Linked DNA regions of Drosophila melanogaster. Each later gene encodes a partner of the first gene's protein in a complex. Each region holds a gene or a part of one and is shown on either strand. Other genes may lie near its edges. The genes, in order: thoc7 and thoc5.

Region 1 (3,758 bases):
TCCAGGACAGGCAGCATCTTATTCTGAATAGTTTTGGTGATTTCTTCAACAAGGCTGCTCGGATCCGTCGGAAGCAGGGGTTTGCCGACACGGAAATCGGCTCCATTCCGGCTGGCCTTCTGCATGATTTCTGTGAACTTGCTGCTCAGCCCGCAATTTTGTGATAGCTTTAACTTTGCGTTTTCCGGGGCGTCCGATTCGTTTGTGGATTCGCTTGTTCGGTGGGGGCGCTTTTTTGCCTTCTTCTGCTTCTTGTGGACATGCCTGTCCTTCTCGGTCTTGCCAGTCGAGGATTTTTTATGTTTTTTGTGCTTTTTAGCCTTTTTGTGCTTGGCCCGACGCTCTTCGGTCTCGCTGTTGTTGCTGGAGTCGTAGCTATTCGGTACAAGAGGGGAGCAGCCCAGGTCAATACACACACGTGCGGTCGGCTTAGTAAAATTAACCTACCTTTTGTCGTCAGCCATTATTTGATTGTTTAACAATGTAAACTGCAGATGCGCGCACACTGTGCGTTCATAAGGTGTGCGGTAATTCTGCAGATGGCTAATGAAACTTGTAATTTTCCTCTTATTGTATTCTTCCTCTTCGTAGCTTTTTTAGTGTGACTGCACGCCGGACAAAAGTAAATACGTTTTAAAAATACCTCCTGGGATTTCGGAATTATTTCTAGTATATATGCAAGTAAAATAAAAATATATTAAAATTAAATTTTATAACCCTTAAATATCGTCTTTGGCGCAAGTCTAAATTGGAAATAAAAACGAAGGAATTTCGAAACAACAGTTGAATTTGTATATTATAGTTCATGACATTTTATTTTTTTGTTTTTATTGTACATGCTAGCGCTTCTAACCTAATTGGCAACAGCTACATCCACGTCGTGCTCATCTTTGTCGATGCTTAGCTCAAGCACCGTGTCCTCTTCTACGGACATGGCTTTAGAGTCCTCAGTAGAGACTGAGTGATATTTGGGCTCGCCGCGGGCTCCGTCGAACTTTGTGGGAGTGCTATTGTTGAGATCGTCGTCTTCATCGCTTACCTCCATGATCCCATTGTCGTCTAGGTCCGGCTCAGAGCGGGCATCGCAATCGCTGGACGAGGAGGATGCCGAGGATGAGCTGTCCTGGTCCAGCTGCTGTTCCAGCTCGTGAATCGTGTACATCAGCAAAGTGAAGTCATTGCGTCGTTTCTGAAACTTGCGCTCCATCTTTAGCTTCTTTTGCACCAAGTCGTCAATCTCCCTCCTAATGGTCTCAATATGTCGCTGTGTTTCACTGCGGTCCGGTTGGTCCTGGATGAGCGAGGCCAGCAGGTCGTACTCCATCTTGTTCTTGCGAATCTGCTTGGCAGTGATTAGCTCTTTTTTACTGGATTCGATTTCCGCTTTAGCCAAAACAATACTTTCTTCGTGGTGTTCAACTAGTTGTGTGTAGTTGTCACGCTCACCGGCGATCATCTGCAGAGTTTGTACATTCTTTAACGCAGTGAGCTTGCACTGGGCGAATTGGGCCATCAGTCGGTCGTACATGATGGGACTGTAATTCGGAAAAGAGGAGATATGTACACCATGTTTTGAATACACACATATCCAATTTCTTACTTGCTGTCCAGCGAGTCACTGGCCCACTTCAAGAACTGTTTCAGCAACACTACTATTCTCCGATCCTCTCCAGTTCCATCCCCGTCAATCAGCAGGCGCTGCTTTATGATTTCTTCTGGAAGATCAGTTTAAATATCTATTCCCAAATGCGAAAATAAACAAAAACAACTTACCGTCATTCATCTCCACTAATTTCCGAACTAGCGTATCGGAGTGTGGCCGAAGCTGACACTGCTCCGACATACCACGCAGTACGGTCCTACTGTACTTGTCCTATCATTTTAATTTGGAGAAAGTATTGAATTATGCCTTACCCTTTATATCCCGCCCATAGCCAAGTGTAGTGCCGTACACTTTCGGACATCAGCGAATCCCATTAACTAAGTGCACTTCTTGCAGAATGTCGGAAACGTCAAGCGTCAACGTGGATGCGGACCGAGATTGCAGAAGGATTGAGGGCCTCCGACAGCGCTCACAACGCCTTGCTGCCCGCCTCCAGCAGATGCAGAGGGAAATGGAGTCTAATGCATCCAGCAAAGACCTATCGGCCAACAATGCCGTTATTCCGCTGCAGCCACTAATGCGCTGGGCGGAACCACGGCCACATCCCAACCAATCCCAACCATCTGCTCGGAGCAACAGCAGGCAGGCCATTCCTTACGGTGTGCCAGTATCCACGCCAGCGCCGGTAGCTATGCAATTGCCCTACCACGTAGCATTCGCCTCCTACCAGGCGACCATGCAGATTCCCTGCCTTCAGCCACTTTCGCATTTGCACGTCGTGTCTAGTCCCAGCCATCGGTTAATAGCGAAAAAGAAGTCGAAGCGGGCTCTTCGAAATGAGGTGGAAGCTCTTCAGGATATGGTCAAACATCTTTCACACCTCTCCCCAGATGTTAACGCGTATGCCTGCCAGCTGATACGTAAAAACGAGATCCTTTCTCAGCTCGAGTGGAGTCAGACCAGGTCAGAAGCACATCCGCAACAGGTTGGTTACCAGGGGCGGCATCGCCACGATTCTGAGGTCTCTGCTACAAACAATGGAAGTCATGTACAGCAGCAACCGAAACTAGGACGAAGGCAACGCAATAGCAAGAAAAACGATGGATCCGGTAGCAATGGGACCCAATCGCAAAAAACCGAACTAGAGGCCATGCGGTCGTACATAAACAAGATTGTCCAACGTCACGTGGGTATGGATCACCAGTTGTCGGAAGACTTGATTTTCAAAGGTAACTTCTCCGACCTGGAAGCGCATGCGCAGAGACTAGTTGCGGCGGGTTATGGGCGCATTGTAGAAGAGGAAATCCGGGTTAACCGCAAGAACAACAGACAGGCCTTTATAATCATGTCCACTGATCGAGAAGCACTCGAACGAGATGGCATCGTGCTCTTGCCAGTGGCTAGGCGCTATGCCTTCGATGGTGACAAAGTACGTGCATTCGTGCTAAACCCTGGTGCTCAGGGTAGTTCAAAGACAGCTGAGCCCTCGTCTGGTGAAATCTCTGGTGGGAAGCCCTCATTATCTCTTGGTAAGTTTATCGGCAAACTTATAATACTTTCGACTGATGATAATATCCTATAAAGCGGATGGTGAGGAGCTTTCGGACGATACCGAGTCCCAGGGCTCTGAGTCCGATACCGACAACGTGGTCGTGATATCGTCGGACAACTGCCCTAAAGCGTTCGTCATAGCAATAACTAAACGAACTGAGCTCCGCCAGATCGTGGGAACCATATCGTTTACGAACCCAACCAAACTCTGTGACGACCAGCTATTCTACAAATTCCGACCGTACGATTTGCGTGTCCCCATGGTCTACGTTCCGAAGGATGCCTGTGCCGCCCACATCGGAAACAAGCAGCAAATAGACGTGTCCGGCCTCTTATACCTTGCCCATATACTCGAGACAGATTGCAATGGGCACTGCATCGCTGAACTAATCCAGCCGGTTGGCCGCGTGGGTAATTTGGATGACGAACTTAAGGCAATTCTGTTTCATAACGGTCTCCGGGATATAAAGCCATTTGAGCAACGATTTATCGACATTTACTCCCAGCCGCCACCTCCGATAAGCCAAGAGGATCTGCGTCAACGAAAAGACTTAAGAAAGATGTGCATATTTACTATAGATCCGATGACTGCTCGCGATTTGGA
Region 2 (4,744 bases), on another chromosome or scaffold:
GAGCAGTACATTGGAGCCTTCAAGAAGCTGGCCAAGACGAATAACACCATGATCTTGCCCTCGAATCCCGGGGATGTTAATGGCTTCGTGGCCCAGGCCCTGGCGGTGTACAACCACGTTTCCAACTCTAACCAGGCCACCAAGTCATCGGAAAACGTGAAGGGTGTGGGCGCCTGCCTGAACGCAAAGAGTGTTGAGTACAAGGAGTTGCAGGAGGATAAAAGCAGTGTGAAAATGAATATTGAATAGGAATGAATAAACGGTTGTTGCTATTACATTTGCCCCACTCATAGTTGTTATTATCAAGGCGAGGATATTAAATTTTTGGTTCAACAAATAAACGCCTATTTATTTACTTCGGAAGGTACTTCAACAGTCGAACCTCGTGCGACAGCCACAATGCGAAACTCAGCAGAATAAGCGAGCCCGACTGGTGGGCCGTTGCCAGAGGCACGGGCACGTAGTTAAGCAAGGTGGTTACGCCAAGCGTGGCCTGCGTCCAGGCCATAGCCACCACGGCGTTGATGGCCCAGTTGGCGCGCTTGGGCAACTGCATCCTTCTGGTGACCAGCCACAGAGCGGTGGTCAGCGTTACTGTGCTAATACCAAGGATGCGGTGATTGAACTGCACCGTCGTCGGATTCTCGGTGATGTTCTTCTGTATGGGCGCAAACGTCCACATGTCATCGGGAATCCACTTGTCGCCCATCTTCGGGAACGAGTTGTACACGAGTCCGGCGTCTAGTCCGGCTACAAAGGCTCCAGAAATGGCAGTCAGCAGGACCATTGCCTTCGTCAAATGCGTCAGCCCCTTGATATTAAATGCTTTCTTGGCTTGGATCACGAATGTGTTCGTGGGGATGAGCAGGGACATGGCCTTTGACAGGGAGAGTGAGTACAGGACGAAGGCAGCTGCCAGGTGGGAGGCCAATCTATACTGGGATACCCGTGGCACGTCGTTGGGATCCTGGAACCTGTCTTCCAGCCCGGACTTGACCATGTACCATCCCATCAGACCTTGCAGGCCAATCAGTGTGCCCAGCAGCAGGACGCTCTTCTTGGTCTTCGCACAGAAGTATCCCTTTCTCCAGAAGTAAACAGCGGGCAAAAGGAAGAACCCGCCGATGGCACGACCCCACATCCTGTGCATGTACTCCATCATGAAAATGAACTTGAACTCCTCCACGGTCATATTCACATTCTTTCTGAAAGCAGAAGTTTGCATGTAGTTCCTGGCGTTGGATGAATCTGGGGAGTACTCACAGCTTGTACTCTGGGTATTGCTGGTAGAGATTGAACTCCTGCACCCATTCCTCCTGGGTTCGGGGCATACGTTCACCCGTCAGCTTCCAAGTGACCATGGACAGTCCGGACTCTGTCAGTCGGGTTACTCCGCCTGGAAGAGATTCACTTTCGCAAGGAACTACAAACTTTACATTTTGTTATTGGTTACCTAGACCAACGGCCACGAAGACCATGCCGCTGACTCCCAGGAACCATCTTCCGACGGTCTTGTCGCTTTTCGGAGTGCTGATGGGCTTTATCACTGGGATTTCCTGAAAGGTGCGGCATTAACAAATATTACTTTATAAATAAAAACATATTTTTATATGTAATCAGTGGGATATTAATGCAACCTTTATCGCTGTTTGCGCAATCGTCTGGTGAAGTCGGGGGCCGGGTACTACTAGCTTTATGAGATTGGTTCTCTTCTGGAGCAATCGCAGCATTGTGTTATTTCAAGTTTGGAGAGATTAACTTAAGCTTACAGCAAATATTAAAGGATATATTTTGTTTTTTAACTATATTTACAAAGCCGCTACCAAGTGTGACCGCAGCAGTGGGGTATGCGCATATACTAAAATCATTTTGAAAAGTACCGGCGAATGTTATCGACTCGATAGCCTGGCCACATTATATCAGTTTTGTTAATAAAAACAACTTTTGCGGCTTCTGATTTACAATTTCGCCAAATAAAATGGAAACAATATTGAACACGCAGTTCGATCAGCTGCAAAAGGCCATAGAGGGAATTAAGGAGGCGAAGAGCAAGGTAAGTCCGATTTCCGTGCCAGAGTACAGCTCTAAATCCGTCCACATCCGTCACGAGCAGGGGCAATCGACGGATGAGGCTCGCATTGCCACCACCTTGATGTTCGTGGCTCTGAAGCACGCCAACCGCGAGGTGAAGCACAAGATCAAAGCGGGGCGCGACAAGCTGCACCTGGAAAAGTGCAAGGTGGACCTCAGCCGGCTGCAGCTGCAGAATCTTCTGTACGAAGTGAGCCACCTGAAGAAGGAGATTGTGCGCTGCCAGAAGTTCAAGAGCAGGGACACCAGCTTGGAGCTGCTCTCGGAAGCCGAGTACTCCAGCGAGCTGCCAGACATGCCCAACGACGCGGAGGAGCTGTCCAGCCACAAGCAGCACCTTCATCGCCTCGACTGCGAGCTGCGTCTGCGGAAGGCACTCGACAAGCAGTACAGCGCCCTGCTGAGCTCCAAGCAGGAACTGCTCCAGGACAATCTTAGCCACGCCCAGCGGTACGTCTCCTTCGCACCCGCCTTGCGCACTCTGCAGAGCGCCACAAAGCCGCTGCACGATGCACTCCAGCTATCCCTGGACGTGGAATGGAAGCTAAGCGCAGTGGTCAAGTACCTGCCCAAGCCGCTCTACGTTTTGTTCATTGTCCTGCAATCGCTGCAGCGGGTCAGCGAGGAGCAGTCCTTCACCGCCGAGGTGGTTGGCTATGAGAGCGAGGCTCAAATGCAGGAGTTGCTTAAGGAGAAAAAGTGCTCCACATTGAACTACAGACAGACTAAAAAGGAAAGTGGAGACCGGGAAAAGATTGCCGATAAAAACAACTTGGACGACTCACTCGCTCCTCACCCACTACACATTTGTTTGACGGTAGGATGACATGGTTTGCTCATTCCAAAACATTTATTAACCTAAACTTTAAAGATTGGAGCGGCTGGATCGAATCAGCTCGTTTTGCAGATTCGCTACTTTGATTTTATCAAGTGTGCCACTGTCTGGGGCCAACTTAACTGCTCCAGGAATGCCAACGGCCAGGGGTAAGTTTGGAACACACCTAGGAAAAAATCGCATAAATAACTAGGCATTTTTTCACAGTGACACAAACTTTGTTCACCACCTATTGCGGCATTTGTACCCCAATGACTTGGGCAATGAATTACCCATTCCGGGAATCCAATACGAGGTAAGAACTTCCTTATCCAACGTTGGACAACCAATTAAATTACGCTCTTTCAGCTACGAAGCTCGGATTTAACAGCCGAGGAATGTGTGCGCTACCTCAAGGCCAAGGACTACGGAAAACCCTTCTGTTGGCTGCAAAGTATGTGCTCGATTGCAACCGTCAACAGTTCGATGCTGTACAAACACGAACTGAACTTGAATAAGAACAACAAGGAGATTATTGACCGCATTGCCAGGCGCTTGAACTCTTGGCAGCGTTTAAGCCAGCAGATTCGCGGGCTGACCTTCAAGGATATCGATTTGTATAGCTTGCAGGAGAACATCTATCCAGCCGGCCTGTCGTGCAGTCTCGTCCAATGGACTGCCATCACACATGAGGAGCTTCACTCGCAAATTTCAGACGCACTGAATTCTTCGTCAGCGGACAAGGGTATTACGTACAACTCTTACCGCGCTGTCATCGTCCGGGGATCGGCCAAAATGGAGTGCTTTATTAGAATACCGAGTAACTATCCACTGGAAATGCCTCTATGGATTCTGAATGTGCACTGGAACGGATGCCTTACCGCGCAAAACAATTCGGCGATCAAGGTTTGAACTTATTCAGGTATTATCCTCCAATTAGCTTTTAAACTTGTATTCCTCAGATGATGGAGTTCTGGACCAACTCCCTGCAGCCCAAACATTTGGAGCCCAACGACTGCATCCTGTACGCGCAGCTCTTCCGCACCATCTACAGCTTCGATATATTCCTCGAAACCGAGGGATCCATGCAAAACACCATTGAGTACAACAAGGAGAAGCCTTACATAAGCGCCTTCGCCAAGCGGAGCCGCTCACGCCCCTACAAATACATCAAGAAGGGATCGGTCTACGCGTTCAAGCAGTGACAGTTGAATAACGAATGTTGTACAACACAATGCGCCAATGCGGTTACTAAACGTTCTCACAGTTGCGTTTATTACGATTAGTAATACAATAAATAAGTAACATTTAAAGCTAGCTAGCTACGACTTCATTGGCAGTTGATCTTCTGGGAAGAGGTCGCTGCCAAGGATCCGGGAGGTAGTGCCGTCGCAGAAGGGTTCTCAACCGCCTCCCGACTCTCGTCCGGCATCACTTTGTCCACGACGTGCTTGACGATCAGCCCATCGTCGCCCAGATAGCAGACAGAGTAGCCGTCGTACCAGGCCTCCTGATCCTTCAGCACCTCCTTCAGTTGCCAGAGCTTGTACTTCCAGAACTGGAACATGACCTTCAGGCCGGAAATGCCGCGCACTCGCCACCTTATCCGCACTGTGTAGTCGTCCTGGTGCTTCGTGATCTTGAGCACCTCGAATTTCACGTAGGCGTACTTCAGGTGGCCAACCGTTCGCAGGATGGCGATCTGTTTGACGTAGTGGTACAGGCCCACCGTGTGCTTGCCCGTTATGTTGTTGTGGAAGATTAGGCCCGGGCTGTAAATGGAGTAGTCTAGGGGCTCCACGAACAGCTTTGGTAGCGTGGTCCTCAGAACCTCGTAGG

Evidence for each region.
Region 2: thoc7 (region 1) and thoc5 share a complex: the UniProt entries of both Drosophila melanogaster proteins name them as parts of the THO complex.

What each region holds. Positions count from the first base shown.
Region 1 is NT_037436.4:210,845-214,602, forward strand, and holds thoc7 (thoc7), read right to left. Parts: upstream 1,844-3,758; coding exon 1,774-1,843; intron 1,716-1,773; coding exon 1,601-1,715; intron 1,536-1,600; coding exon 854-1,535; 3' UTR 792-853; downstream 1-791. Other genes in the region: Prp4k (Pre-mRNA processing factor 4 kinase), read right to left, coding at 1-375, 448-464; Dis3l2 (Dis3 like 3'-5' exoribonuclease 2), read left to right, coding at 1,906-1,940, 2,000-3,132, 3,188-3,758. UniProt on the Drosophila melanogaster protein: The THO complex is required for cell proliferation and for proper export of heat-shock mRNAs under heat stress.
Region 2 is NT_033778.4:23,952,186-23,956,929, forward strand, and holds thoc5 (thoc5), read left to right. Parts: upstream 1-1,905; 5' UTR 1,906-1,978; coding exon 1,979-2,053; intron 2,054-2,113; coding exon 2,114-2,908; intron 2,909-2,962; coding exon 2,963-3,075; intron 3,076-3,133; coding exon 3,134-3,221; intron 3,222-3,274; coding exon 3,275-3,811; intron 3,812-3,867; coding exon 3,868-4,110; 3' UTR 4,111-4,221; downstream 4,222-4,744. Other genes in the region: Stoml2 (stomatin like 2), read left to right, coding at 1-249; CG3803 (uncharacterized protein), read right to left, coding at 353-1,205, 1,264-1,396, 1,454-1,556, 1,638-1,730; CG16787 (uncharacterized protein), read right to left, coding at 4,236-4,744. UniProt on the Drosophila melanogaster protein: The THO complex is required for cell proliferation and for proper export of heat-shock mRNAs under heat stress.